3 linked regions of the Rattus norvegicus genome follow. The protein of the gene in region 1 interacts with the protein of each later gene in a biochemical or structural test. Links are inferred from orthologs where the notes say so. Each region holds a gene or a part of one and is shown in the gene's direction. Other genes may lie near its edges.

The links.
Region 2: the proteins of Bmpr1a (region 1) and Bmp4 form a complex in vitro, tested with the Homo sapiens proteins (3 studies listed by BioGRID and IntAct, with this or other methods). The link is inferred for Rattus norvegicus from reciprocal best matches to the Homo sapiens genes BMPR1A and BMP4.
Region 3: the proteins of Bmpr1a (region 1) and Bmp7 form a complex in vitro, tested with the Homo sapiens proteins (2 studies listed by BioGRID). The link is inferred for Rattus norvegicus from reciprocal best matches to the Homo sapiens genes BMPR1A and BMP7.

The regions. Positions count from the first base shown.
Region 1 is NC_086034.1:9,745,958-9,755,862, reverse strand, and holds part of Bmpr1a (bone morphogenetic protein receptor type-1A precursor), read left to right. Parts: intron 1-1,620; coding exon 1,621-1,813; intron 1,814-2,228; exon of another isoform or gene 2,229-2,972; intron 2,973-3,921; exon of another isoform or gene 3,922-3,966; intron 3,967-4,865; coding exon 4,866-5,163; intron 5,164-9,905. UniProt on the Homo sapiens protein: On ligand binding, forms a receptor complex consisting of two type II and two type I transmembrane serine/threonine kinases.
Region 2 is NC_086033.1:22,096,501-22,107,169, reverse strand, and holds Bmp4 (bone morphogenetic protein 4 precursor), read left to right. Parts: upstream 1-5,236; 5' UTR 5,237-5,242; coding exon of another isoform or gene 5,243-5,367; intron 5,368-6,416; 5' UTR 6,417-6,423; coding exon 6,424-6,796; intron 6,797-7,799; coding exon 7,800-8,653; 3' UTR 8,654-8,823; downstream 8,824-10,669.
Region 3 is NC_086021.1:182,129,137-182,139,529, reverse strand, and holds the start of Bmp7 (bone morphogenetic protein 7 precursor), read left to right. Parts: upstream 1-4,383; 5' UTR 4,384-4,807; coding exon 4,808-5,222; intron 5,223-10,393. UniProt on the Homo sapiens protein: Growth factor of the TGF-beta superfamily that plays important role in various biological processes, including embryogenesis, hematopoiesis, neurogenesis and skeletal morphogenesis.

The DNA.
Region 1 (9,905 bases):
GAGATGATTTCAAAGGCACTTTATGCTTAGGGGGAAAGCAACCAGATACAGAAAACTACATAATGTATCTATTTATCTGACTCTAGGAAAAATAAAACTGTAGGACAAAAATGGATAAGTAATGCCAAGACAACAGGAAGGAATTAATAATGAAAGTGGGAATTGTTTTAGGAAGTGGAAATACTAAGTCGTAAATGAGATTTTGGTAATTAGATGGCTAGGCATTTAACAGAACATACTGCTCAGTCTTAAAAAGGGATACATTTTATTCTATATATAAGTTATATTTGAATAACCCTGGCTTTAAAACACTACAGTCTAATGCTAAGTGGTCATGATGTAAACCAGTTCAGCTTTGCATAGTTCCAGCCTCAGATACAGCGTTGTTTTTCATTTAAAATTACTAGTAGTCTGAAGATGAAAGATGAAGTATATACTTCAGGTCTTAGTCCCAATAACTACCTGTGTTCTGAGCCAGAAACAGAATTTAAACGAAGTTGTGTATAAAAACAAAACTGTAATTCTGACAAGTACAGCCAAGGAGGTAGAGAATAAGCTTGTTGAAGCTAGACAAGCAGCACTCTACAGACAATTAGGCCTGCAGCAAGAGCCGTGAAGAGGAGGAGAAGCAGGTGCATTCAGACATGTGAAGCAGGGCTGAATCTGCCTGGAGGTTCTAGGAGGTAGCAGAGCTGCTTCCCTACCCTTATGAAGACCAGTCCTCCTCTATCTGGGGAGGTTTCAAGAGGGATCCAGTGGAGGGGGCGAGTGGAAGAGGTGCCTGTTTGGACATCCAGCTCAGCGGAATTAATCCTGGCAGTTAACCTGGTGATAGATGTGTCATAGCCAGATCAGCCGCCCAGTCAAATGATTGTGAGAGCCAGAAGTGGATGGCTCCAAGGAAATCGCATCTTCAGACACAGCAGGACTGGTGTACATAGGACTTCAGAGACTAACCATGTGCGCAGCCTCAGACAAAACCTCAGCACGGAGAAGAGGAAGTAGACATACAGCTCACCTCTGACCAAACAAGACCTGGGAGGAATTTGGGGAGGGAAAGGAATGATCAAAATATACTGTATAAAGAATCAAATTCTTAAAATTGTTAGAATAAGGAGAGTGTAGGTAAGTAGTGAAAACTGGGGCGGTGTCAGATCAGCTAGGATCTTGGAGGCTGAGTTGAAGGATTTTAATTATCATTTAGATTTCGTTGCATAGTAAATCACCTTTAACTCAGTGGCTTGAAGCCAAAAACATTTATTATTTCTCATAATTATGAGTCTGTTAGAAAGTTTGTTTTCGAGACTTGTGCAGCAATTGATAAACTATATCCCAGTTCATGGGGTTGACAGTTGGCGCGGTGCTTCATGAGAGCAGAAAGATAGGCAGGTTAAGATACACAGCGTCCGTGAGGACTACTTGTTGTACATTTACTACTCTGTAGTCCAAGGCCCAAGAGTGTGGGCAAGGAGAGCTCCCAGGGTGGCCGGCTAACCAGAGTGCGTGTTCACTGCTGCTTTTGCATGCTGTACACACTGGGGCTGTTTGGATATGCCAGGCTTTCTAATGGGATGACCTTAAAGGGTTCTTTTCATAAACTCTGTTTTTGTTTCTGTATAGGTTCAGCGAACTATTGCCAAACAGATTCAGATGGTTCGGCAGGTTGGTAAGGGCCGGTATGGAGAAGTATGGATGGGTAAATGGCGTGGTGAAAAAGTGGCTGTCAAAGTGTTTTTTACCACTGAAGAAGCTAGCTGGTTTAGAGAAACAGAAATCTACCAGACGGTGTTAATGCGTCATGAAAATATACTTGGTGAGTATCCTACAAGTTCCTCATTCTGGCAAGGTTCTCAGGGTGCACAGGAGAGCCTGCCATGTGCATATGGATTCAAATGTTTATGTAGCTAAAGGCAATCTAGTAGAGTTCACAGTGAACTAGAACTCTTTCCTGGATGCCGAGAAAGCATCTTCCTGCTCTAAACAACATTGAGCTTTAGAAGGACGGAAAAGGCTGCTTTACTGGACTTGTGGACTAATGGGAGCCAAGTGTTTGGCAGAGAACTTCAGTGCTTTTCTAGGGTAGCTTTAACTGCGTCGACCTTTTCCCTTTCGTCATTAGAAAAACCCAGTTCTGACCTTTTTTATTTCCAGTGTGTGACTTTATTGTGTTTTTATACCTAATACATCTTCCTCTCACCACCACCTCATTATAGAGTGGTGAAGTGCTATCTAATCGTTAGAATGGGGACAGATCTAGCTTTTCTGAGTTTTCTTTTCAGCTGCTACTTCATTATCTCTCTCTTTTTTCGGGGAGCGGGGATGCAGTGGGGAGGATCCCTGGTTCTTTATTAAAACCATTTCTTCTCAGTAGTGTTTTTCCATGGAGGGTGGAGGGTCCTGCAACAGTTCCAGAAGATTTCCTTGGTTTCAAAGGTGACTTTGCATATGACCAGGAGTTCTTCCCAAGATGGGAGGCTTAGCCAGTTGCAGAAGAGGGGCTTTGAGGTTTTTACTGAGGGGTATAGTGGGAGAGGCTGAGAGGCCGGGAGAGCGCAGTACTAGGGAAGGACTTGAGCTTATCCTCCAGTTGTCAGGCTGTTGGGGAATGCTCCCTTTTCACAAAGAGATGGCAGAAGGTGTGCCTTGGTTTGGGTTTGATTTCTGTCAGAGCGGGTGTCAGTGCTTCGGGTCTTGGTGAAGAACACATATCCAGATATCTGAGTGCCTTGGTCTTTTGCCTGCTTTTCCTTGTTGAGCATAGGATTCATATGGGAGCGAGCAGTAAACAGTGCTTCATCTGCAAGTTCTGTGCTGATTCAGGTCAGGATTTCTTCAGATCGGCATAATTAGGCTTTCTGCCCTCCACTTAAGGAGGTGGAAGCTTGAGATGACCAGATGTCCTTCTTGTCCCCACTTCTGGCAGATATGGATGCTATCCTGCAAATGTCTGTGGGAGTTCTATAGTTCTGTTGCTAAGAGACTGGAGATTCTGGAATTCTCATCTTTTAATTTGTAAAGTGCATTGCCCATTGCCATGTACAGACATTTATGTTCATTTCCTGTGGCTACTATAAAAAAATTGTCATAAGCTGAGCGGTTTTGTTTCTGTTTTTGTTTTTTTTTTAAGATTTATTTATTTTATGTATATGAGTGCACGGTAGCTATCTTCAAACACACCAGAAGAGGGCATCAAATCTCATAGATGGTTGTGAGCCACCATGTGGTTGCTGGGAACTGAACTTATGACCTCTGGAAGAGCAGTCAGTGCTCTTAACTGCTGAGCCATCTCTCCAGCCCAAGCTGAGTGGTTTAAAACATCAGAAGTATGGGTGAGTGTGATGGTACACACCTTCAATCCTAGCACTCAGGTGGATCTCTGAGTTCAGAGATAACCTGGTCTACAGAGTGAGTTCCAGGATAGCCATTGCTACACAGAAAAAAAAAATAGAGGAGGGTGTTGGGGGGAGATGGTTTACTGTTGAAGGGGTTGACTAGTTGGTTGGAACCTGAGTGTAGAATGTATTTAAAGAGTGAAGTTTGATGGTAAGATATGGACGGTGGAGATTCTGTTTAGACTCCTGGAACTCTGACCAATAGCCTAGCCTACCTGGCAGGGTTCCAGGCCAGTGAAACACTCGGGTCTCAAGAGTTGTAAGCAGGAGAGGAATGACCCCTCAGGTCATCCCTGACCTCCACATCTACTCACACTCTTATGTGTACGTGTTACCTGTGCACACATAAAAAAAGGGGAGCGACTGACCATCCCCTCAGCTTTAGGATCCAGAACTTTAAAATGAAGCTGTTGGCAGGACCATGGCCTCTCTGCAGGTTCCTTCCTGACTGAAGGGGTCATTAGTGTCCTTGGACTTACAGACAGCCCTCCTCTCAGTACTTCATAGAGTCTTTCTGACCACGTCATACAGAGGGACACTGATGCGGGGATTTGCACACAGTCTTCTCATGCATGGCTTCATGGAAATGTAATTTTATCTACAAAGACCCTTTTTCCAGTGTAACTTAAAATATCTATTTTTCAACTTGAAATTGAGAGCTTTTATTTTGGGGGTTCAGGGGTAGGGTTTTTTGTTCTTTTCCTGGCCATTAAATAGTCTTCCTCTGTAGCTCTGGCAGCCTTAACTCGTTCAGTCTTCCTGCCTCTGTCTCCTGAGTACTGGGATCACAAACTTGTGCCACCACTCCCTGGTAAAGAACCTTTTCAAGAGAGAGTCATGTAGGCAAATAGCACTTGCAGGATATCGTATAATAAATATATGGTTTTTCTTAGTCATATTATTATCACTGCTGTGATCAATGTCAGGGTTGTCATGTTAGCTGTATGTGGTAGCACATGCCTGTAATCAATCCCAGCACTCAAGAGGCTGAGTGGGGATGACCACACGTTTGAATATAGCCTGGACTACATAGCAAAACCCTGTGTTTAAAAATACTGTAAATCTAGACCTGAAAGATGGCCCAGTGACTAAGAACACATACTGTCCTCGCAGAAGGCCTGAGCCTGAGTGTGATTCCTAACACCCACGTTAGACAGCTCACAGCCGCCTGCAGCTCCAGCTCTAAGGGATTCAACAGCCCTCTGATCTCCTTCACTCACACACACACACACACTCACTCACTCACACATACACACTCACACACAAATTAAAAATACTGTACATTTATTGTAAAACTGTAGTGATGTGTATAAATCATAGGAAATGAGTCCTTGGTGATACTCTCAAAACATTTTGCCAGCCAGGTTAGGATAGTACTTTGTGTACATAGTAGCAGTTCATTCCCAGTGTCCTGATCAGTAACTGCCTGGTGTCTCTGCACACAGCTAACCTCTGAACTCTCTAACTAAACAGGTTTTATAGCTGCAGACATTAAAGGCACCGGTTCCTGGACTCAGCTGTATTTGATTACTGATTACCATGAGAATGGGTCTCTCTATGACTTCCTGAAATGTGCCACCCTGGACACCAGAGCCCTACTCAAGTTAGCTTATTCTGCTGCCTGTGGTCTGTGCCACCTCCACACAGAAATTTATGGCACGCAAGGCAAGCCTGCAATTGCTCATCGAGACCTGAAGAGCAAAAACATCCTTATTAAGAAAAATGGTAGTTGCTGTATTGCTGACCTGGGCCTAGCTGTTAAATTCAACAGGTAAATGATTCTTTGGAAATTCTTTTAATATCTGTCAGGTATTTATCCTCAGGTTTGGTTGTTTCTTTTTCTTTTTACAAAGCTGCATGTGACTGTACTTCTCTGGGGATTGTTATGGATTGAACCTGAGGTCTCACGAGTGCTAAGCACACCCTCTGCGGCTAAATGGCCTCCCAGCCTCTGCGTGATTGTTGACTTCCTTTTTTAAGCCATAAGATGCTTTATTTAAATAAGATGCTTTTATTTCACTTTACCTTTACTTGCTCTTTTTGCAAATATAGTTGTCCATGTTAAATATAAAGTAACCTAAATAATGGGCGTTAGGTTTGCTTCCAGTTCCTCTGTGTTTCTAAAAAGGTTATGAAGCTGGGAGTGGTGGGACGCACCTTTAGTCCTAGGACTTGGGAGGCAGAAACAGGTGAATCTCTGGGTTCCAGGACAGCCAGGGCTATACAAAGAAACTCTGTCTCAAAACACAAAGCAAAACACCACAACAAAAATGGGTATTACGAACATTATTGAATTTTATGCATATAAGTCTATTCTTGAACACTTGCATAAATATTTTTGTTGGGGGCTGGAGAGATAGATCAGCGATTAAGAGCACCCGACTGCTCTTCCAGAGGTCCTGAGTTCAATTCCCAGCAACCACATGGTGGCTCACAACCATCTGTAAAGAGATCCGATGCCCTCTTCTGGTGTGTCTGAAGACAGCTACGGTGTACTCATATATATAATAAATGAATAAATAAATCTTTGAAAAAAAAGTTTTTTTTCTTTTTTTTTTTCTTTTTTTCGGAGCTGGGGACCGAACCCAGGGCCTTGTGCTTGCTAGGCAAGTGCTCTACCACTGAGCTAAATCCCCAACCCCGAAAAAAAATGTTTTTTAAAAAAAAATTTTTTTTGTTGGGGTTCAGGAGTCCTCCCACAAACCACATGCATCAACACTGATCTCAGTCAGACAGGGATAGTTTATTGAGCACACACCACAAGATTGATCGATCACAGTTTGGGAGCTAAAGCTAAGTACCCCAAACCTTTCCCAGGACTAGCTTAGAGGTTAAAACTACAGTGAGCTCATGTGCAGGTGCCTTGACTCAAGGTATTTTAGACAAAGCAATTCATATTAGCCTTGAATTTGATGGGTCCTAAGTGAAGCTATGGTTGTGGAATTTCCTTTTTTTTTTTTTAAGATAATTTATTTAATTTTATTTTATGTGTGCTGGTATGAGACTTTCAGATCCTTTAGAACTGGAGTTACAGACAGTTACAAATTGCCAGGTGGGTGCTGGGATTTGAACCTGGGTCCTTTGGAAGAGCAGTTTTCTTAACTACTGAGCCGTCTTTCCAGCCTCCCTGGAATCTCTTAAGATTAACAAACCTCATAACATGCAGAGCATAACAGGGTCTGTGGTCAGCACGACCCTGCTCGAGTCAGGTTATTTCTCTGTGTCAATGATGGGCAGGCGTGTTATAGCAACATTGTGAAATAGCTGGCAGGCATGGGACAAAATGGCTACAGCTATGCCAGGTGGGCAAGCCTCATCAATTTTTATTCATAATAGATTTCTAGATAAGGGAGGCTCCTGGAGAGTTTCCACATAGTTACTTATGGCATATTGTAAAATAGTGCTTCAGAATGGTATTGTGTGTGAAAATAGGGGAAGATAATTAGGCACTTTCTTTCGATGTTGTTAGTTTTCCAAAACAATTAGAACTATAAAAATTTCAAGGAACTGTTGAAGCAGTTGTTTCACATTTCAGAATTCATTTAAAGCCAAAAAGTAAAAATACTAGTTTACTTACTAGTGGAGGGACTAGAGAGATGACTTAACAGTTAAGAGCACTTACTTAAGCTCTTACAAGGACCTGGGGTCAGTTCCTAGCACTCACATCAAGCTTCTCAAAACTACCTATAATTCCAACTCCAGGGCATCCGGCCTTCACAGACCTGCAGTCACTTGGAACATGTGGCCTCATGCGGGTGCACATACATGCACATAGAGAATGAATAAGTAATTGTTTTGTTGTTGTTCATTTTGAGGCAAGGACTCACTTTGTCACTAGGCTGATCTGGAACTCTGTGGACCAAGTTGACCTTGAACTCACAGAGGTTCTCTTGTGCCACCACACCTGGCTTTTTTTTTTCTTTTCTTTCTTTCTTTTTTTTCTTCTTTCTCTCTTTTTTTCTTTTGTAGCAGCAGCAGTAGTAATTAAAATTGTATGGGGCATCTTCTTGGTCATTAGCAGTGTTCTTTTTGTTGTTTTGAGGGGAAGTTGTTATAAATTCTAAGATTTTCTTTCCCAGCCCTGGCTCCCAGATTGACAACTCTGAGATTAATTATTTATTATTCAATGCTTAGGCTATAACCTTAGGCTCATTCCCTGACTAACTTATTTAGTCTATTCAAACTGTGCTGTGTCTACCACTTGATTAGTTACCTCTCTTTCAGTCCCAGCCTGCGTCTTTCTTCATGGCGCTCTCAGTGTCTAGTTCAAATCCTTCTTGTGCCTCTCTTTAGTCTCCTTTTGTTCTCTATTTCCCAGAATCCTCCCCTTCCTGCCAGTGTCCTACCTATTTCCTACAAAAGCTGATTGCCATAACAAATAAATCTTTTTTAAAAAGCAAGTTTAGTTAGTTGTTGTTTGGGGTGTGTGTGTGTGTGTGTGTGTGTGTGTGTGTGTGTGTGTGTGTACACGTACATGTGTCTATATATGGGGGTGTTTTGTTTTTCAAGTCAGAGTTTCTCTGGGTAGCCCTGACTGTCCTGGAATTGACTCTGTAGACCATCAGGCTGGTCTCAAATTTATATCCCCCACCTCTGCCCCCCAACTGCTGGGATTAAAAGTATGCACCACGACTCCTGGTTTTATTTTTATGTTTATGTATATATTGCATGCATAGATGTCTATATTCCACATTCAAGCAGTTCTCCAGAGGTCAGAAGATGACTGGAACGGGAATTACAGGTGGTAGGTAGTAAGCCACTGTATAGGTGCTAGAAATTGCACCCAGGTCCACTGGAAATGTATCAAGTACATTTAACTGCTAAACTATCTTTTCCAGTCCCTACTCCATTGTTTTTAATTCATCCTCACGTGAGTTTTCAGGACTCCTGTGAGCATGCAGCCTGATTCTTGCCAAGATAGAATACAAGTAGCCTCTTGCCTAAGTTTCTCTGTAACTTCATGAGCCAGGCCTCCGCTGTGTACCTTTCTCTCAGCATTCTGGTCTTCCCACTCCCATGAGGAAGCTCCGTAAGTCTGCAGGCTCCCCTGGCACGTCAGTCTAGACGCTTCCACGTTGTCCCCATAGCAACTAAAGGCATAGCAACCATATCGTCAGCTGTATTGTAGCAACAGCCCCACCCCTCCTTTCTGTGTGCTATTGACTGTTGCACATGCAGAAACTACAGGAGGACCTCCAAAATCCTGTTTTTATCATTCTAGTATTCCCTTGAGAAAGGGTCTCTCACTAAACTAGGAACTAGCCAGGTGGCTGGAAGCCCCAAGGAACCTTTTCTCTCTCGTACCTCCATGGCACGGATGTTACTGATGGCACACCCAGCTTGAGGGCTAGGGATTAAACTCAGGGCCTCCTGCCTGTGTAACAAGTATTCTTACCAGTGAGCCTTCCCTTAAGAACCAGCTTCATACATTGTTTCATGTTGCTGTGACAAAATATGACAAAAGCACCTTTTGTCTTTAGCCTTTAATGGCTAAACTATGGTGCCAGCCTAACAAAAGCAACTTTTAAGGAAGGAAAGAACTTATTTTGCTCATGTTCTCAGGGTGTAGTCCATCAGGATAGGGGAAACATTATTGGGGGAGTATGAGGTCACATTGTGCTGTAGTAAAAAAGCAGAGAGAGTTGAATGTGAAGTGGGGGTTCTCTTGTTTCTCCTTTTAACATTTTTATTCAGGAATTGAAGCCCACAGGATAGTATCACCTCATTCAAGGAGATCTGTCCTTCCTCTACTGAATTTCTCTGGAAATGCCCTCAGAAACAGCACACCTCCACCCCTGCCCCACCCCCATCCCTGGTTGCTTCCAAATCTAGTCAAGATGACAATGAAAATTAACCATCAGAGATGTTTTATAACAAAATACAATACCTTGTACTGGTTCCACTGGAAAGTGGTTTCTAGAACTTTCCAGTCGCAGTAACAAAACATTTATGTCTTCAAGTCTAAAATTCAGTGCAAACCCCAGAAAAGTAAAAAGTCATTTATTACTGACTATGTAGATATTACTTTGTTTCTAATATAAATAAATTGGATCCATGAGAAATAAATTTCAATTCTGCATTTTAATGTTAAACTTGTTATATAAAAATGTTGAAAATAAATTATTTTTCTTTTATTTTTATACTCAACTTCTCAGATATAATTACCTGTTCTTGTACTTGTCTTATATAAAAAATATTGTCATGCTTTTTTTTTTTTTTTTCTTTTTTTTAAGATAGGGGCATATGTAGCCCAGGCTGGACTGGAACGAGACATTTAGCCAAGGATGACCTTGAAATTCTGGTCATCCTGCCCTTACCTCTTCAGAGCTTAGTGTTAAGGTGACAAAAATGACTCACCACACTGGACTTAGGTGGTGCTGGGGGTGGAACTTGGGCCTCCTGTGTCTATACAGACGAGCGCTACACCAGCCGGGCCTCACTGGTGTTACCTCTGATAAAAACAGCTGCTTTGGTGACAGGTCTCAGCTGAATCTACGAAAGGTGTTTGTAGTA
Region 2 (10,669 bases), on another chromosome or scaffold:
CTGACGCAGTGGCCTCATTGAGCACTGGATCTGTCCTTCAACCTGCTCTGGGAGCACAGAGCCCGATGCCCCAGGAGTAATGTAATAAGAGTAATGTAATGTAATGGCGTTTTAATTTTGTGTTGTTGTTTTAAATAATTAATTGTAATTTTGGCTGTGTTAGAAGCCGTGGGTACGTTTCTCCGTCATCTTTCCTGGCTGGTGTTTTCGCCTTACCTTGATTAATCAGAGATTAAAAGAGAAGGTATACTTAGAAAACGATTTCGAATGAAAGAAGGTAGATTGTAACTTCACTAAAGTTACAGTGGACCAGTGGAGTCCTCTTCTAACTGAAAGGGATCCGGGAGCCCTGACCTGATCTTTCTGTTCAGTGGATGAGAGAGGTGGTACCCATTGGAATGAAAGGACTTGGCCAGGGGCATACGTGCGCTCCAGGCTGGGGAAGGTCAGGATGTTGTGCTTAGCTCTAACAGTCCTTCCAACCTGACATTCCTCCTCACCCTTTGTCTCTGGCCGGTAGAATACAGGAACTGGTTCCTGTTTTTTTTTTTTTTTTTTTTTTAATTCTGAAGGTGTGTAAGTGCAAAGGTCAGATGAGCTGCACTAGGTCAAGATCTGCTTTGTAGTGACAAGGGAATATAACACCCACCTCAGAGAACAGAAACCAAGAACCGGAAATTGCTATCTTCCAGCCCTTTGGGAGTTACCTGGAGCTCAGGGCTGCTGGCCTCACCCCTACCCTGAAGCTTTAGCTTTATTTAGCAGAAGCTGTGATTTCCTTCAGTGCTTTGGGCAAGGGCTCTTAGCCTGGCTCTCCCTCCCCATCCTTGTTTGTCAAAACAAAGATGAAGCTGATAGTTCCTTCACAGCGCCTTGCCATCGCCTTGCGAGGCAGTGAGTGAAATTAGCTCCCATTTGGGAAGGTTTAAAAGCGGGCCACATTCCACCTCCCATCAGATAGTACAATTACCAACAGTTGTTGCTATTATTATGAAAGAATCAATTCCTCTTCTCCCTTCTTTTAAAAAGGGACCAATAGGCACTTTTTTTTTTTTCTCCTCTCTACTTTGCCTAAAAAGCACTTGCTTCTCTTGGTCACCTTCCCGGAAGGTCCCAAACAAACTAACCAACAAACAAAAATAACCACCTGACAGTTAAGAAGGCTTCGGAGTTATAAATATGCTTTTCTAATTGTCTTACAAGGCCTGGGCCTGCTTGCCTGCCAAGTGCCTGCAAATCGCCTTGTGCTTTTTGAGAAGTTAGACCTGGGGAACTGATGGAGGGCATCCAGTTTAAGGGGGTGCGATTCTCAGTGTCAGCACCAAGGGTTTCCACAAGAAACATCTTTAAAGAATGTTTTCTTGGGGGGAAAGTCACCTCCTAATAGTTGAAGAGGTATCTCCTTCGGGCACACAGCCCTGTTCGCAGCCTGTTTCTCAACGTTTGGGAATCCTTTAACAGTTTACGGAAGGCCACCCTTTAAACCAATCCAACAGCTCCCTTCTCCATAACCTGATTTTAGAGGTGTTTCATTATCTCTAATTACTCGGGGTAAATGGTGATTACTCAGTGTTTTAATCATCAGTTTGGGCAGCAGTTACTCTAAACTCAGGGAAGCCCAGACTCCCATGGGTATTTTTGGAAGGAACAGAGACTAGTTGGTGCACGCTTTCTAGTACCTCTTGCACGTGGTCCCCAGGTGAGCCCTGGCTGCTTCCCGAGCTGGAGGCATCGGTGTCCCAGCCAAGGTGGCAACTGAGGACTGGGGCGCTGTGCAGGCTTCCGGACCCGGGCCTGCCAGGCGAGGCGAGGCGAGGCGAGGCCCCGTGGCTGGATGGGAGGATGTGGGCGGGGCTCCCATCCCCAGAAGGGGAGGCGATTAAGGGAGGAGGGAAGAAAGGAGGGGCCGCTGGGGAAAGACTGGGGAGGAAGGGAAGAAAGAGAGGGAGGGAAAAGAGAAGGAAGGAGTAGATGAGAGAGGGTGGTGCTGGAGGGTGGGAAGGCAGGAGCGCGAGGCCTGGCCCGGAAGCTAGGTGAGTTCGGCATCCGAGCTGAGGGACCCTAGTCTAAGACGCCGCTGCTACCCAGTCTGAGTATCTGGTCTCCGTCCCTAATGGGATTCTCGTCCAAACCGTCTGGAGCCTGCAGCGATCCAGTCTCTGGCCCTCGACCAGGTTCACTGCAGCTGTCTAGAGGTCCCCAGGAGCAGCTGCGGGCGAGCCCGCTTCTGCAGGAACCTATGGTGAGTATGGCATCCTGGCAAGGGGCGCTCGTTTGAGGGTTCGAGGTGCAACCATAGCTGGGATGGGCTCAGGCTGTAAGTGTGGCAAAAGTTGGCCTATTCCTCCTTCCTTCTCCAACAGTAGTGTTGGAGGTGGGATGATGGGGCTGAAAGGCACCTCCATATGTATTACTACGTCCATCCAACCTACTTTCAGGGAGATGCCGGCCAGGAGAGGCGGGAAGGAGAGAAGGCCTTGGATGGAGGTCATTGGGAAGAATCGTGGGGTTTGGTGGGTTTGATTTCCCCCTAGACTAAAAGAGTGGGAGAGGAGGGAGTCAACTCAGTTTCAACACGAGAGGGGTACGGAGGGACTGCGACACCGGGAGAGAAAACCTAGCCAGAGCTAGCTTTGCAAAAAAGATGTAGTCTTGCTTGGCTCTAAAGCGCGACCTGGGATACAGGGGCTTCCTTGAGCGGGGTGTCACCTAATCTCATCTCCAACGCGCCCCCCTCCCCGGAGAGCTAGCGAACTGTAGCTACAGAACTCGCTCCAATCTCCACGAGTTATTTTTTTAGACATGGGCACCCATGCATTCTGCCTTCAGCCTCCCTTCCAACCCCCCCCTCCCCGGGAGGGGGTGTAAGGTTCGACGGGCCCTGGCCAGGATGCCCGAAGGCTACCTGTGCGGGTCTTCTGCTGTGTTGTGTCGGTGGGGACGAGCCGGCAGGTCTAATGAGGAGCTTTCTTGGCTCACGATGCCCCAAAGGGTTCGGGGATTGCGGGGTCCTTACAAAAACGCAGCGTAGTTGGACCCCCCGGGACTCGGAAAGTTTCCCGCCACGGCTTTGGCTGATAGTTTTTGAATATCTCGTTTTATGAGCTGAAGGTTTTGTGAGATGTTGAATCGCTAACAGGGCCATATTCAGTAAACTGAGGCTAATATTAAGTTTTGGCTTTGGGAGAAGATTATGGGAAGAAAGTGAAGGGTAACTGCCGCCAGGAGCTGTACCAACCCCATTAAGAAAAAAAGAGTACTAGGAGATGAAAATTAACTTGAATTTGTTTTTTTTTTAATTTAAAAAAATCAGGGAAGAAAAGAGTGATTAGAGGGGGGTCCTTGTGAACTTGTAATTGAAACAACTCCTTCGCCTCTTTACTGGGTTTTAACGTCGAGAGCGCTCCCCACACCGCCAGACTCCCAAGGGCACAGGATTGTCCCGGGACCCCGAGCGTCTGCCCGTTCCACTCTGCCCTCGCTCCGCGTGCGCCAGTCACTAGCACATCTCCATCTCCTTTCCCCTTAAAAACAAATAAACACATCAACAAGAAGCCCTTTGCCCTTTCCAGGGCTTTCCCAGTTATTCCCAGCGGCGACGCTGGTCGGGGAAAGGAGAAATTGTCTCGGAAACCTGCGCGGCTGGTGGTGAGAGCGGATTGTCGCTCAGGGGCGCCCGCGGTCTCTGCACCCAGGCCAGCGGTGTGGGCTGGTGCTTGGCAGCCACCACCGCCAGGAAGGACATGACTCTCCATCCTTTACACTTCTTTCTCAAAGGTTTCCCGAAAGCTTTCCCCGTCCCGAAAACTGGGGCGGGGGGCGGTGAGGCTGGAAAGCAGCCGGACACGTCGAGTTCCTAAGTGAGGCAAAGAGGCCGGGTGGAGCGGGCTCTGGAGCGGGAGTCCCGGGACTCGGGTCCTCCTCGGATGGACCCCGCGCAACGACCTCCTTGAACAGAAGAGTTGCGCTTCCTGAGGTTAGAACAGGCCCACGTGTGTGGCATCTTGGGATAGTCAGGTCACCCCCCGCCCCCGCCCCCGTCATTGCCTGAGTTGTGTGTTGGTGAATTTCTTGGAGGAATCTTTGCTGCGATTCTGTAGCTGGTGCAAAGGAGGAAAGGGGTGGGGGGAAGGAAGTGGCGCGCGCGGGGGTGGGGGGTGGTGGGGGTGGGGGTGGTTTAAAAAGTAAGCCAAGCCGGAGGGAGAGGTCGAGTGCAGGCCGAAAGCTGTTCTCGGGTTTGTAGACGCTTGGGATCGCGCTGGGGTTTCCTTTCCGCGCCGGGTCGGAGTTGTAAAGCCTTTGCGACTCTGAGATCTGAAAAAAAAAAAATGTGATGCGCGCTCTCTCTTCGGCGACGCCTGTTTTGGAATCTGTCTGGAGCTAGGAACCCAGACGTCCACCCCCTCCGCCTTGAATGGCACCGCCGACCGGTTTCTGAAGGATCTGCTTGGCTGGAGCGGACGCTGCGGTTGGCAGACACGGTGCGGGGACTCTGGCGGGGCTACTAGACAGTGCTTCAGAAGCCGCTCCTTCTGACTTTCCCACACCGCTCACACCCTGACACCCCCGCGGCAGACTGAGTTGGCGACGGGGTCAGAGTCTTCTGGCTGGGAGTTAGATCCGCTAGGGGTCGGCGCCTGTCGCTGGAAGCATTATTTGGCCTCTCGGAGACCCTGTGGAGGAAGTGCCGGAGTGTGCGAGTGTGTTTGCCTGTGTGTGCGCGCGCTCTTGGAGGGTCCCTACGCGTTTTCCTTTTCTCGTAACTCTCGGTCGTGAGGCTTTGAAGGAACTGTCTTTTCGGTCGCCCTCTCGGCTGCACTTAAGCCGTGTCGGCGCTGTAAAGAGAAGCGTCTTCAAGTGCACCCTGATCCCTCAACCTTCAGATAACCGGTCCCCGAACCTGGCCAGATGCATTGCACTGCGCGCCGCAGGTAGAGACGTGCCCCACGTCCCCTGCGTGCAGTGACTACGACGGAGAACCCCGCCAGCGGCTGGTGTCCCGCCGAGAGCTCCTCCGAGCAGGCGGGGACAACTCCCAGACGGCTGGGGCTCCAGCTGCGGGCGCGGAGGTTGGCCTCGCTCGCAGGGGCTGGACCCAGCCGGGGTGGGAGGATGGAGGAGGGGCGGGCGGGCTCTTCGGTGAGTGGGGCGGGGCCTCTGGGTCCACGTGACTCCTAGGGGCTGGAAGAAAAACAGAGCCTGTCTGCTCCAGAGTCTCATTATATTCAAATATTCATTTTAGGAGCCATTCCGTAGTGCCATTCCGAGCGACGCACTGCCGCAGCTTCTCTGAGCCTTTCCAGCAAGTTTGTTCAAGATTGGCTCCCAAGAATCATGGACTGTTATTATATGCCTTGTTTTCTGTCAGTGAGTAGACACCTCTTCTTTCCCCCTCTTGGGATTTCATTCTGTCTTCCCACCCCTGATCGCTGTCTGTCCCTCCCGTCGGACTTCCATTCCAATGTCCGCGCCCCACTCTCAGGCAGCGCTGTCGCTCTCTTTCCTGGCCCCTGAAGGCCAGACGCTCGAAGCGTACGGGGTCCTTCTAAAGCGCTCCCACTGTCTTCTCTGATCCGCTGCGTTGCAAGAAAGTGGGGAACGCGAAGGACCAAAGAGATGAAAGGTCCGCAGGTCCGGGCTGTCCCTTGAGGGCTAACCACTCCCTTCCCAGTCCGGTCCCACTAGCCTGGGAAGGCCAGTTCTTTGCCTCATGTCAAAAAAAAAAAAAAAATTACCCGTGTTCGCTTCGGAATCACCCCTACCCTTCCCTGGGAACAAGACTTTTTCCTGAACATTTTCAACGCAGCGACCACAATGAAATAAATCACAAAGTCACTGGGGCAACCCCCCTGACTTTTTTTCCCAGCCACTGGACCTTGCTGCCTGGTCCAAGCCCGGTCGTCGCTGCTCTGTTCTCCCCTCCTCCTGTTCTTAACCAGCTGGAAGTTGTGGAAATTGGGCTGGAGGGAGGAGGAAGGGCGGGGGGTTGTGGTGGAGGAAGAGGGGGAGGCTGAAGGTCCGAAGTGAAGAGCGATGCCATTTTAATTCTCCCTCCCCCACCCCCCTTTTACCCCCTCAATGTTAACTGTTTATCCTTGAAGAAGCCACGCTGAGATCATGGCTCAGATAGCCGTTGGGACAGGATGGAGGCTATCTGATTTGGGGTTATTTGAGTGTAAACAAGTTAGACCAAGTAATTACAGGGCGATTCTTACTTTCGGGCCGTGCATGGCTGCAGCTGGTGTGTGTGTGTGGGGAGGGTGTGAGGGAGAAAACACAAACTTGATCTTTCGGACCTGTTTTACATCTTGGCCGTCGGTTGCTATCCCTATATGCATATGCAGAGACATCTCTATTTCTCGCTATTGATCGGTATTTATTTATTCTTTAACCTTCCACCCCCTCCCCTTCCCCAGAGACACCATGATTCCTGGTAACCGAATGCTGATGGTCGTTTTATTATGCCAAGTCCTGCTAGGAGGCGCGAGCCATGCTAGTTTGATACCTGAGACCGGGAAGAAAAAAGTCGCCGAGATTCAGGGCCACGCGGGAGGACGCCGCTCAGGGCAGAGCCATGAGCTCCTGCGGGACTTCGAGGCGACACTTCTGCAGATGTTTGGGCTGCGCCGCCGTCCGCAGCCGAGCAAGAGCGCCGTCATCCCGGATTACATGAGGGATCTTTACCGGCTCCAGTCTGGGGAGGAGGAGGAAGAAGAGCAGAGCCAGGGAACCGGGCTTGAGTACCCTGAGCGTCCTGCCAGCAGAGCCAACACTGTGAGGAGTTTCCATCACGAAGGTCAGTTTCTGCTCTTAGTCCTGGCGGCGTAGGGTGGGGTGGAGCGCCCGGGCCCCGGCGGAGGGGGGCGGGGGGGGGGTAGCTGGCAGGGCAAGCTGAAGGGGCTGTGGAAGCCCTTGGGGAAGAAGAGTTCAGGTTACATCAAAGCTCCAAGTCCTGGAGGCTGTGGAACAGGGCCACTTACCTTCAACTTTCCAGAGCGCAGCCTCTGAAGGTACTTTCTGGAGACCAGTGGTGGTGGTGATGGGGGAGGGGGGGCGATGTTGAGGAGGAGCGGAGTGACACCACTCAGACGTGGGCTAGCCCCAGCGGTGTGCTTTAGCCATATCAAAGCCGGGGTTTCTGCCCGTTTTGTTCAAAGCACCTACTGAATTTAATATTACAGCTGTGTGTTTGTCAGATTTATTCAATAGGGGCCTTGTAATACGATCTGAATGTTTCCTAGCGGATGTTTCTTTTCCAAAGTAAATCTGAGTTATTAATCCTCCAGCATCATTACTGTGTTGGAATTTATTTTCCCTTCTGTAACATGATCAACAAGGCATGCTCTGTGTTTCCAGGATCGCTGGGGAAATGTTTGGTAACATACTCGAAAGTGGAGAGGGAGAGAGAGAGAGAGGGTGGCCCCTCTTTTTCTTTACAACCACTTGTAAAGAAAACTGTACACAAAGCCAAGAGGGGGGCTTTCAAAGGGGAGTCCGAGGGTGGTGGAGTAAAAGAGTTGACACATGGAAATTATTAGGCATATAAAGGAGCTCGGGAGATACTTTCTGTCTTTGGTGCTTGACAAATGTGAGCTGAGTTCTGCTGGTTTGCTGGCTGCCCCGTTTCTCTGCCTTCCCATTAAAAGGCACAGTAATTTCCTCCCCTTAGGTTTCCACTACAAGCAGAGTTCAACCAATTCCCCTATTTTGTTTGTTTGTTTGTTTTTTGTTTTTCTTTTTTCTTTTTTGTCTCAGAAAAGCTCATGGGCCTTTTCTTTTCCCTTTTCAACTGTGCCTAGAACATCTGGAGAACATCCCAGGGACCAGTGAGAGCTCTGCTTTTCGTTTCTTCTTTAACCTCAGCAGCATCCCAGAGAATGAGGTGATCTCCTCTGCAGAGCTCCGGCTATTTCGGGAGCAGGTGGACCAGGGCCCTGACTGGGAACAGGGCTTCCACCGTATAAACATTTATGAGGTTATGAAGCCCCCAGCAGAAATGGTGCCTGGACACCTCATCACACGACTACTGGACACCAGACTAGTCCATCACAATGTGACACGGTGGGAAACTTTCGATGTGAGCCCTGCAGTCCTTCGATGGACCCGGGAAAAGCAACCCAACTATGGGCTGGCCATTGAGGTGACTCACCTCCACCAGACACGGACCCACCAGGGCCAACATGTCAGGATTAGCCGATCGTTACCTCAAGGGAGTGGAAATTGGGCCCAACTCCGGCCCCTCCTGGTCACTTTTGGCCACGATGGCCGGGGTCATACCTTGACCCGCCGGAGGGCCAAGCGTAGTCCCAAGCATCACCCACAGCGCTCCAGGAAGAAGAATAAGAACTGCCGTCGCCATTCGCTCTACGTGGACTTCAGTGACGTGGGCTGGAATGATTGGATCGTGGCCCCACCGGGCTACCAGGCCTTCTACTGCCACGGGGACTGTCCCTTTCCACTGGCGGACCACCTCAACTCAACCAATCATGCCATTGTGCAGACCCTGGTCAACTCCGTTAATTCTAGCATCCCTAAGGCCTGCTGTGTCCCCACCGAACTGAGCGCCATTTCCATGTTGTATCTGGACGAGTACGACAAGGTGGTGTTGAAAAATTATCAGGAGATGGTGGTGGAGGGGTGCGGATGCCGCTGAAATCAGGCAGTCCGGAGGACGGATGCACACACACACACACACACACACACACACACACACACACACACAAAGCCCATCCGACCACCCACACATACCACACAAACTGCTTCCCTATAGCTGGACTTTTATCTTAAAAAAAAGAAAAAAAGAAAGAAAGAAAAAGAAAGACAGAAAAGGAAAAAAAAAAAACCAACCCTAAACACCCACCTTGACCTTATTTATGACTTTACGTGCAAATGTTTTGACCATATTGATCATATATTTTGACAAATATATTTATAACTACGTATTAAAAGAAAATAAAATGAGTCATTATTTTAAAGATACATTACGGCCTTTCTATCTTATTTCCTATTCCGTCCTTTTGTTTTACTTTGAGATGGGGCTGGGGGTAGACTGATGAAAGTCAGAGGTGGCAACTGGAGGTGTCTAAACCGTGGGGGCCCAGAGCCAAGTGATGGCAGCGAGATGGCGACTGCTCTCCATTCTTACTTAATGTTAACAAGGAAGCAGCACCCTCTCCCATCTGGATGACACATGCCATGCAGAAACTGGATGAAAGGAATAGCCAGATGAAAAAGAATTTGGTTTGGGACTTCTGGATCTTCTTGGCTTTGCTCACCTGTTGTAGAGTGTCAGAGCCTCAACCCTGTGGAGAAAGGTTTCCACTCTCAGAGACTCATTCCCACCTTTTGCTTCATGATACCCCGGAGTGTCTTCAGTACTGGCAGGCCTCTTTCTCCTTTTGAACCAAATCCAATCCATACATACAAGGTCTCCTTTCAAACAGGGCTTTGAGTTTAGTGGCTTCCCCCCCCCACCTCCCGACAGGGGTCCCACTATGTAGTCCTGGCTGTCCTAGAGCTCACTATATAGACCAGGCTGGCCTCAAACTCACAGAGATCTGTCCCTCAAATGTTGGGATTAAAGCTCTCCTCTCTCTCTCTCTCTTTCTCTCTCTCTCTCTCCTTTTTCCTTTTTCTTTTTTTCGAGCTGGATTTCATAACAATAATAGGTCCTACCTTGAAATAATTTAGTGACCACTCTGGACATATAAGGTGTGGTGGGATGCTTCAGTGTTAAGGGGCTGTTAACCTTCATCCTTCCTTCCCCTTCTTTCAAGTTCAGAATCCCAGTATTGTGTTAGGGAAGGGGAGTTGGCAATGAGATGAACTACAAGAGTTTTGAAGCGGGCCCGCCTGTGAAAGTGTTCTGATATCTCTCCTCTCGGCATTTACTGAGTCATGGATCTCTTGTCTTTTTCTGTGCTAGCTCCTCCACCATCCTCCAGAACCAGCCAGAGTACGATCTGTCCTGTGGAACTGAAGTTTGCAGCAGGGGTTGGTTCTTCAAGGAGAAAGCCTCGTTTGGTGGCTCAGTGAAAGGAATGATCTTAGCTGGAGATGTGGTTCAGATGGCAGAGGGCTTGCCTGGAGTGCAGGAAACCTTGGGTGTGATTCCCTGCTGGAGTCAGGGTGTGGTGGGAGAGGTGACGAACACACCAGTGATCCTAGCTCTCTAGTAGAGGCTAAAGGAACACAAGTTCAAGGTCATGCTCGGTTACAGAGGAAGTTTCCGGCCAGCCTGGGACAAATGAGACTTTGTTGTCTTAAAAAGAAAGAAAGAAACAAAAGGAAGAAAAGGTGGGAAGAAGACATCACTGGGCTTAGAGGTGGGAGACCCCTTCAGTTAAGGACAGAAGGAGCTTTCCAAAGGGTATGTTTGTAGGAATTTAGGGAAACAAAAGAGAGGCCTTTGACTTCTCATTACCAGAGTTAAATTAAGTCCTAGTCAGTTCAGCTCCTTCTCCCTGCTCCAGTTGAATAATTTAGGGTAGAAACAGTGGGGATCCTGGTCCTCTGCAAAGGGCCAGGAAAAGGGCATTCCTCTGTTTCTGCATCGCTCTGAAGGTGAAGGTTGTTTTGTTTGGGAGTTGTGTCAGACACAAGGCACAGGGGCAGTTTAGCCTTCTCTGTGCGTCGTGCGTGCACCTCCCTGAATTCTTTTACACGCAGT
Region 3 (10,393 bases), on another chromosome or scaffold:
CAGTCCTCCTGCCTCATGCACCTTAGAACTGGGGTCTTTTGCCACTCAGGTGCAGCGCCACCACGGGCTGATGGATGATGGAGAATTTCTTATTCCTGTCTAAGTCTGCAAGGAGTGGGGCTGGAGAGGTGGCTCAGTGGTTAAGAGCACTGGCTGCGGGGTTGGGGATTTAGCTCAGTGGTAGAGCGCTTGCCTAGGAAGCGCAAGGCCCTGGGTTCGATCCCCAGCTCCGAAAAAAAAAAAAGAACCAAAAAAAAAAAAAAAAAAGCACTGGCTGCTCTTCCAGAGGTCCTGAGTTCGAATCCCAACCACATGGTGGCTCAGGACCATCTGTAATGGGATCTGATGCCTTCTTCTGGTGTGTATATGATAGATAAATTAATTTTTTTTAAAAAGTCTGCAAAGAATGTTTTAGAGGCTGCTGTAGGGAAACGTTTGCTTGGAAGAAAGGCACGGCCAGTGTGCTGAAGTAAGTTACCATATGGGATGGTGTCCTAGGCACACAGGAGTGTGTGTCTCTGTGTGTGTGTGGGGGGCAGTTGTGTCTTGGACCCCAGGTTTGATGGAGGGTAGGAGGGTGGGGAGACCTTGCTTTTGACCAAGAGTCTGAGATCTAGGTCATCAGGCCTTGACTAGGTTGGGTGGGGCCAGAGGAAACTGCCTGTACCCCTGGGTGCAGGGCACCATGGCTGGGCTCGCACTCCCCACACTGATGGAATGAGACTTTGCAGTCGAAGATGAGGTCCCACCTTGCTCCGAAATGTGTAAGTCAGCAGAATTCTTTTCTTTTTTATTGCCTTGGAGACATGAGCGGCTGGGGTCAAAATCGCCTCTGCAGGATATGAAGAGGTGGTGTTCCAGACGAAAATGCCTTGCCCAGCGCAGGGAGGCCCGCAGGAGAGCAGCTTCCAGACACAATGACACCCCAGGTGTGGAGCGGCCTGGGGGGATCACATTACACTCTGGAGCTTGTGCTGGGTGCCCTGGCCGAGAAGGGGTGGGGAACCTGTTGGGGCTGGGGCTGATGTGGGTCAGGGCCTGGCTACTCAGGAAGTCCCTGGACCAAAGGGTGGGGGGGGTGGGGTCCTCCTTTCCTCTCAGGCCATGGCTGTTTGTTCTGGGCTATCTTGCTCCTGTCTCTGTTCAGGCTGCTGTGGGAAATTTAATTCATTTTAACTCCCAGGAGCTTCTTCTTGGTGGGTTTTCTGTCTTAATCAGATGGTAACTAGCATTTACCAAGGATAGCCTCTGTACCCGGGGAACCTGGATCCTCAAGCAACCATGGGATGATCCCAGTCTCCCATTTTACAGGCAGGAAAACTAAGGCAGGAGCCCGCCAATTCTACTTTCACTATGTACAGCTGGAAGCTCTGAGTGTGGAGCCCCAGGTTCCCAGGATCCAGGCTATCATTTCCTTCCCATCAGGTTGTCTCCAAGCATCCTCAAAGCCTTCTCTGGGTGCTCCAGGGGTGAATCTGTCCTGCTTGTCTGCTCTATCACTCAGGAAACAGCTGGGTGAGGTCTTGGGGACTCCTCTGGGAGGAAGCGCAGAAGAGACCTCCCTCCCCCAGGGTTTGGCTGAGAGATAATTGGGGTGGTAGGAGTTCAGAGGGAATCTTATCTCTGGAGCCTCAGGAATGAGAAGAGGTGGCCTCTGGGAGGTGGGGACCTGGGAGAGGGGCCTGGGAAGGAAGAGGTTGGCCTTTCATGGTCCGCCCCTCAGACATTGGCCTTTTAGGTTTGGTTTGCCTGATTGCCATTCGCCCAATAGGTACTTGGTGAGGGGATATCTGCTCTCTCTCTCTCTCTCTCTCTCTCTCTCTCTCTCTCTCTCTCTCTCTCTCTGTGTGTGTGTGTGTGTGTTGGGAAGAAGGGGAGGGGAGAGCCCAGTAGGAAACACACTAGGAGATGGGTCTTTGGTAGAGGACCCAAGAAGAACCCGTGACAAATGAGTATTTTCCATGTGCAAAGTAGCAGCACACAGACCTGCACCTCCCTTCAGGATACCCCCACCTTGCTTGCTAGGGAGATGCTCCAAAAGATGGAGGGTGGATTTGAACTAGGAGGCTTCTGTGAGCCGCACACCTTAACCTGATGTCAGTCTAGACTTTAGAAGAGATAACCTGTAGAGACTTCTTTGGCAGAGACCTTGGGCAGGGCTGGTGTAGCTCTTGATTCTGCTTTGGGGGAACCTGCTGGCTGGGCTCTTCTTGATAACCTTTTCAGGAAAGTCCTTCCTTCTGAAGCTGTCTGTCCCGCTTGTCATTTCATCTGTGAAGCCCAGTCTCTCTGGGGACTGCAGTGACCCAGGGTGCTGTTTTACGGACAGAGACTACAGTGGTTCTCCTGTCATGGCCGCCCATGGGTCACATGTCCCTCCCCTACCCAAGCCCAGCAAGGCGTCCGATCTCTGCCTTCTTGGCTGCCTCCTCCACCTGAGCTCTGATGCTTCTCAGAGAGAAGAAACGGGAAAGACTGCCATGCTTCTGTCCCAGACCTCCTTGATGTTTCCGGGGGCCTGAGAACCAGCTAGTCATGGAGGTCGCCACACTGGCTTGATCACTCTGATGTCCTCCTGCCTGGCCTATGTGTGGCACTCCTGCTGGCCACAGAAGGCCACACACAGCCTTCCGAAGTAAGGGCAGGGCCCCTTTGTTTATTCAATATTAAGAACTGTAACTTGGTCACTGGAGGTCATGTCTCCAGCTCACAGCCTGAGTGGCCTCAGCTCACAAGCCACAGCAGGTCCAGGGAGGGGCCTCTCAGAGCTGTGCTGGCAGGGGACACAGTACTGTTGGTGTCCACAGCCTGGACTATGACCTGCAGGTCTCTTTTGGGGCCATCCCTGCGGCCCCTCAGGCAGCCACATGGTCTAAAATCCTCCCAAGGAGCCCAGAGAGCCCTAGGGTAGCTATCTCTGTTTCCAGAAGCCCGGAAGACCAGGCTGTCCCATTTCACCCTAGGACTTCAAGATGGAGCCCTCTACTCAAGGTCCTTCCCAAGCCCCTCTTGCCACTCTTTAATTCAGACTCCCATGGATATTCTTGGAGCCCGCCTTCAGCAGAGCAGGGAGGCCTGGCTTACCACCCCACAGCTCACTGCCATTCTGAGTGAATGCTGTTTTGCTCCCATTTTTCAGAAATGGAAACCGAGGCTCTAAAGAGCAGCTATCCACTGAGAGCTCCAGCATCTGTCTGGGTCCTTTCTTTCTGTGAAGAGAGGGAGGCTAGTCCTTTGCGACAGGAAAATTCAGTGTGGGTGTGTGGGGGGGGGGTTGTCCTGAACTTGGGTACAATGCCCAACTCCCTACTCCTCAGGCCCTACCTGGGGCTGGGGGTAGGGTTGTTAGACAGTAAGGCTTTGGCCCCTTGTGCCAGGATAAGGGGTGGGTGGACCCCCCCAAGAGGAGGGGGTGGGAGCACTCTCTAGTCCCAGATTTCACTTATGAACTCTGCAGAGCTGCAACATCTGGGGATCCGCAGTTCAAAAATACTAGGGGAAAAAAAAGCCTCGAAGTACCTGTACCGGATCCCTTGGGTGCTGAACCTGAGGAGGAGGAGGGAGGAGGATGAGGGAAGAGGAGTAGGGGTAGGTGGAGGAGGAGGAGGACGACGATGACAGTGTGTGTGTGTGTGTGTGTGTGTGTGTGTGTGTGTGTGTGTGTGTGTGTTTGTGTGTGTTGGGGAGTGAAGTGCAGAAAATAAAAGTAACGTCTGTAGGAGGAAACAACTTTATCTCCACTTTATCTTCGGTCCTGGAAGGTTACCAGAGGAAGTGGCACCCGAGGGGGAGGGGCAGGGAGAGAACTTTCCCTGAGGAGCAAAAGCCAGGGCAGCCGAAGCTGGCAGGCGGTGGGAGTACGGGCGGGGGTGGGCGGGTGTTTCTGCTTGACTGGAGCAAATGAAGTGTTCGGGAGGTTCGAAAGATGAGCCTTGTCCAAGAGTGGCCACCTCCGAGGAGCCTTCTCGGATTCCTGCGCTCCCTCCGGGATGCTTTCCTAGCACAGCCTATAGTTGCTACACTTTGGCCACTTCCAAGTGCGAGTCTCTAGAGGGCTGCAGCCTCGGATTCCTCTCTCTGCGCCCCTGAGGCGTCCGTCCCAGTGCCGGACACCCGGTGGGCACTCGGTAAATATTTGTAGAGCGCCCTGGGAGGAATGAATGAAGCCATTGGGCCAGGCTTGGGGAGGGCGGGGACAGGCGCAGGTGGGAGGCCGCGGGAGCGGGAGGGGCGGGGAAGTCGGTCCTCCTGCTCCTCCCCCCACTCCTCGGCCCCAGCGCGCCCCATTCCGGGGCTCCCGAGGCGGCTGGCGGGCGATCTGGGGCGCGCAGGACTGGAGAAGCGACCTGGGGTCCTTGTTTGGGGCGCGGGAGATCGGAAGGGTTTTTTTTTCCCGCTGGTGCCCGCGGGCCCGAGCGCGAGCAGAGTGGGAGGAGGGAGCGAGGGTTCGCCCAGCGCCCTGCTGCCTCCCCGGCACTCGCTCTCCGGACTTGAAGGTCTGCAAACTGCTGCTCCTCCCACCCCGGCCCGCCTCCTCGCTCTCTTGCTCTCTCTCTGGAGTTGCTGTGCTAGCCTTGCGGTGCGTCCTGGCGAGTGCGGGCCGAGGGGCCCCGGGCCAGAACTGAGTAGAGGACTGGGGCGTCTCGGGCAGAGCGCAGCGGGCCAGGGAGTGGCCATGAGTGGCGAGGCCACGGTGAAGCTCGTCTGCAGCAAGTGACCTCGGGTCGTGGACCGCTGCCCTGCCCCCTCCGCTGCCACCTGGGGCGGCGCGGGCCCGGTGCCCCGGATCGCGCGTAGAGCCGGCGCGATGCACGTGCGCTCGCTGCGCGCTGCGGCGCCACACAGCTTCGTGGCGCTCTGGGCGCCTCTGTTCTTGCTGCGCTCTGCCTTGGCCGACTTCAGCCTGGACAACGAGGTGCACTCCAGTTTCATCCACCGGCGCCTCCGCAGTCAGGAGCGGCGGGAGATGCAGCGGGAAATCCTGTCCATCTTGGGCTTGCCCCATCGTCCGCGCCCGCACCTCCAGGGAAAACATAATTCGGCGCCCATGTTCATGTTGGACCTGTACAACGCCATGGCGGTGGAGGAGAGTGGGCCGGACGGACAGGGCTTCTCCTACCCCTACAAGGCCGTCTTCAGTACCCAGGGTCCCCCTTTGGCCAGCCTGCAGGACAGCCACTTCCTCACCGACGCCGACATGGTCATGAGCTTCGTCAACCTAGGTGAGTGGCGGTAGGAGGTGATATATCTCAGACCAGGGCTACTTTGGGACAGGGAGAGGGTGCCTGCTTTCAACCACTGTGGTCCACCTTCCCATTTGCAAAGCATCAGTGCCGGCCAGAGACTCTTGCCCCCGGGTCTTGGTAAACTTTAAGCTCTGTGAGTCTTTGAGTCTTGCCGGCTCGGAGGGTTTGTGGGGGGTACCGAGAGGGAAGGACCTGCCCTGAGTCTCTTTGCCTGCTCCGCCGCGCGTTCATCTCACTCAGGGGCGGGAGGTCCCGGCCCGGCAGCGGCTTAGTTCAAAGCGCCCGGCTGGGTCATGTGAGCTGAACCGGCTTCAGCGGCCCGCGCTACCTGGATTTAAAGGGCCCTTGAGAGTAAAGCTGCCTTCCCGCCTTTCCTCCGCCCCTTTGAGCCCAGCTTGGCTCTGGCATCTCGCACATCCCCTTTCCTTGCCCTCTCTGGCCAGCCCTACCTGTCCCTTTGCGGTGCGCCTTCTCGGCGCGCGCTCGGAGTGTCGCGGGGCTCCTCTCCTAGCCGCCAGTCGCCCACCTTTGGACTCTCGGCTGGAGCCGGGGAAAGAACGTTGCCATTGCGAGTTTTCTATTTTAAATATTTAATGATAGGTCCCGGGCGGGCAGAATCCATTTTCAGCGTTTATCACGTGTGGCGCGCAAACCACGGGTTTTGGCGATTGGGTGGCTGGGGACCTCGGAACAGAGGCCGCCATGGAATGGCTGGGGAAACCGTTTCCATACTGTAGTTCCAGCCAACCAAGGGATGCGAGGCTGGGTTACGGCTGGTCTGAGACAGCTCCCCCTGCATCTGTGCGCGCACAAGTATCTAACTTGCTCAAACTAACCCCCAACCGTGCGCTGTGGGGCTGGCCATCAAATATTTGGCTTTGGTGATAACACACCCTGATAGTGCTGTTTCCTGAGTCACTTTTCTTCTGCTTGTGGAAGTTGCTGAGAAAACCCCAAGTCAAGACACCAAACACACCATGGGCGCCCGTCAACCTGGAAATAATGAAGCTTAAGGCCACCCCCCCCCCCTTTTCTCTCTCACTGGGCACCTGGGGCTCTGAAGGGATCTCCGGGAAGAAAGGGTCCACGTTAATCCTCTCAGCTCCAGATAAAGGCCTTGGAGCTTCTGGGAGACCATTGTCTGTTTCCATTTAAGATCAAAAAGTGTCAAATAATGAATCAAGCAAGGGTCAGGGTGTAAAGGCCTGTGATAGAGCTGACAAAATATTACAGAGCAAATTCAAATTCTCCTCAGACACTTGTTAAGAAGAGGTCCTGCTTTGGGATAGCCTCCAAACCCTGAAGGTAGGAAAGGCCAATTGCAAAGAGATTTTTCCTGGGGGTAGGGCTTGGTGTGCTGGGAGAGGGAGGCCGCCTTTCACTGCGTCCATTTTTTTAAAAAAAATGTGGATTTATTACCAAAAACTAAAGTCGACTCCTCAATAGAGACTTAGCAGTATGTGGTCAACGTGGATCTGCGAACCTATCCTGAAGGCAGGCATAACAAGGCCCTGGGTGAGGGTCAGGGCTTATGGCCTCTTCTGTTCTCCGGTGTGATCTCCAGGAAGCCAGTGAGTGGGTCCTAGCTGACAGTTCAGAGCTGGTCCATCGAGCTGCAACAGATAATCCCAGACTTTGGTGCCAGTCTCTGTGTTTCAGGTCTGGCCGTGTGGCCCCAGCTGGCTTCCCTCATCCCAAAGGGCCAGGTGGCTTCCAGGGCAGCTCCCAGGGCCCTGCTGGGAACCTGGCAGGGGCGGTTGCTCCCCACCCCCAAGCCCCGGCCTCCCTCGGGTACAAGCTGGGGCTTGCTGGGGAGGCCACAGCTGGGTGGCTTCCTCTGGCTGCACACACACCTTTCTTTCAGTCCGTTCTTTCTTTCATGTTGACAGGACAAAGCCTGGCTTGTCTGAGCCTCTTAATCAGTGGGGCTGGCCGTGGGCTTTTGTGGGACTGTCCTTTCTCAGGCATGGCTTTCTGGACCATCACTCCTAATTAGATAGCAGGGTGGCTTTTAACAGGACCCAGGGATAGGGTCTTGTTTTCTCTCTCTCCTTCTCTCGCTAAGCTAGAGGTAATTAGGGGAAGCCCCAGACTGTAGCTGCTAAGAGCTTCCTGTAGGTGCATCTTTAATCTCTGCTGGGCCACAGCACAGGCATAGGCCTCCTGCTCCTGCTGCTATGACCTGGGGATGGCAGCTGGGTTGAAGAAGGGTGTAGCGACCCCCAGAGACTCATCCCCACACTGAGGCTGCTGAGAAAGCGTAGTCTGGTCAGAAATAGACAAGTTTTAGAATGCCAGGTTCACGCTTACCCTTTGCTCCCCGAATGAGAAAAGGTCCTGGTTCCTGTCAAACCACCCCTTGTCACCCTTAGAGCATTTGGTGTTGGTGCCAGAGACCGGACCCCCTGGCTGCCTTCCACACACACCTCTGCCCACACACCTCCGCCATTCTCCCTCAGGCCTGCCTGCTTGGGGGACCCCCTGCCTCAACCCTGAAGGCTTTTGCAGATCCACTGCCTCTCTCCTCCTGTCTGCAGCCAAACTGGTTTTTGTTCTTGTAAGTTGTTCTCCCTGGAATTCGAGCAGTCTGCCAGGCCTAGTGGGATCCACACCAGAGGAAAATTTACAGCAAAACCAGGTGCTGCGTGTGAGGACTTGACTGCCCCAGATGACAAAGACCAGCCTGAACCATAAAGTCCCTGGGAAAGCCGGCTAGCGTGGGACACCCATCCTCCTGGCTCTGGCCCCGAAGTTCAATGACAAGATCTGTAAACTGGTTTGGATTAACAAGCCCCCTACTCCTCTGGGTAGACTTCATTTTGGAATTCAAAACAGGCCACACTCTCTCAAACAGTCCCCAGGCAAAGTTGATCCTGCAGAGACCTGGCCTAGCTATTATTAACCCCAGCTATTCTTTCTTCGGGAAGCCAAAAGCCCTGTTCAGAATCTTTCTAGAAAGCCAACCGGCTTGGAGAGGGTGTATGTGACTGCTGTTTATCTCCTGGGCCAGGTTGGGAAGGAATGAAATTTGTTTAATCTTCGAAGCTAAGTTAGAAAAGGGAGCCTGCTCGGACCCCGTCATTACTGTAGCCAGCACAGAGAAGTGGCTTTTGTTAACTTGTTCTGGTAAGCAGAGGTGAGGCCTAGCAGTTTGTTTTTTCACTTTACCCCCCATCTGGCTGTCCCTTTTGGAGACAAGTGTTTGGCGCTAAGATCTCTCCTTTAACCCTCCGAACAGATCAGGCCACTGGGGAAGGGGAAGGAAAGGTCCTGTTACAATTTAAAGGCATCCTTTGGGGAGTGCGCCACAGAGAGTGGCTGCGGAGCCTGCAGCTGTAAACTGGCCCGCCTTAGAATTTGGAAGGGGCTCCCTCACATTCCAACCCTTTTGGTTAGCAGCAGAAGGTTAATAGAGATGTCACATGTATTTCCCCTTCACCTTCTCTCCCCTCTCCCTCCCTCTCCCCCTCCCTCCTCCCTCCCTCCCTCTCTCTCTAGATCAACTTCACCATAGGGGTGTACCCACAGCTGTGTTTTCAGGAACCCTTTCAAAGTCACTTTTAAACCTCATTTTCCTGGATCTATAAATCAAAGATTCCCCCCTCCCCTTTTCCCAAGGATATTATGTGACCCAGATTTGAACTGTTTTGGATCTTTTGTGTGTATTTCCCTTCTGCAGTCAAGGCAGGCTAAGGCTGGGGCCCGGAATGGCAGCTCAGATGGCTGCTTTGGGGTTTTATCCCAGGGCGGATTCGGGTTCCCTTGAAAGGTGGGAGGTGGCTCGGAGGAGACCGGTGGATTGTTTTCCTGCGTGGAGAGAAGAAAGTGAGACCCTCAGAGACCCAGCTCCAGAGAACTGGGTTGGGGCCCTACCTAAGCCGCGACTGGTGGCAGCCTGCAAGCTTTTGCCTGGATGAGCACAGCGGGGCGGACGCCCGTGAGCACATGTCATAGGCCTGCTGAACCGGGGGACAAGTGATGACTTCATCCCAGGCAGAGTCCCGTGGAGGTTGATTGATGACCCCGCCGCTTTCATATCTCGCCCACCCCACTTGCTAAGGTCATATTTGGCCCTCATCGAGTCTCACAGTGTCCTCCGGCTGCCTTCCCCACCCTTCCCGCCCTGCCCCTCCGTGTAGCTGTGGATTGGAGAACACTTTCCTCCCAGCAGCGGTCTGGCGCTCCGCGGCCACGGCTGCGGCCCGTGGACACACAGGGGATGTGGCTGGAGACTGCACGGCTTGCCTTCGCGCGCTCCGCCGCGTCTCTGGGGTCAGGGCGCAGGCAGGGATGTATAGGATCTGTCTTGTTATTGTCAGAAGGAATGCACTCAGGGATTAGCGGGAGAGCAAGGTGGTGGGAGGGAACCGCAGCTGTGTACACTTATTATAAAAGATTTAAGTCCCACTGGTAAAATCAATATATTGAATTGCACAGCGCTCTGTTTTTAATTAGTTTAAGTCAAACGCGCCCATGCTGTTTTGCCTCCCCTCGCCTCCGTGGGGTGAGGAAACACCAATATTTACATAGAAACTGATAACACTTTTAGCTTCACACACTCCAATGACCCAGGCTTGATGGATCCCAGATCAACATGGGATTGGGAGGGATGATGTCAGTGGGGAAGAGGGACATCGGTGACGCCTAGGACTTGGACCCCGATGCTGGGACGCCGCGAAGGGTGTGTGTTTAGAGACCGCGTTGGTGACCTTGGACTTTTAACAAAGAAGCCCGCTTTTTCCGCATAGGCAGTCGGAAAAGCTGAGATTCACCAACTCGCCCCCTAGAACATTCTTGCAAAACCATCTAGGGGCTCCGCCAGCATGCGGGGTTCTTTGTGCCGGGGGCAACTCGGGGCACGTGCTTTATTTATTCCAGAACTCTCCTTCCTAGTCCCTGCAAGTGTTTACAGAGGCAGGATGGCTTGCACTGTAAGCTCGCATGCACCGCCGGGGCGATTATGTGAGCCGGTCGGTATTAGCTGTGTGCTCAGCTGGGATTGAATTCCCCGGGTTTTGCAGCAAACGGCATTTGACAAATACTATTTGACAAAAAATGTGACTTGGTATTTCTTAATGTGGAACAGATATTTCACGGTTAACCTCCCCCGGGTGAAAAATCGCTCGACCCCCAAGTGCAATGGCGGT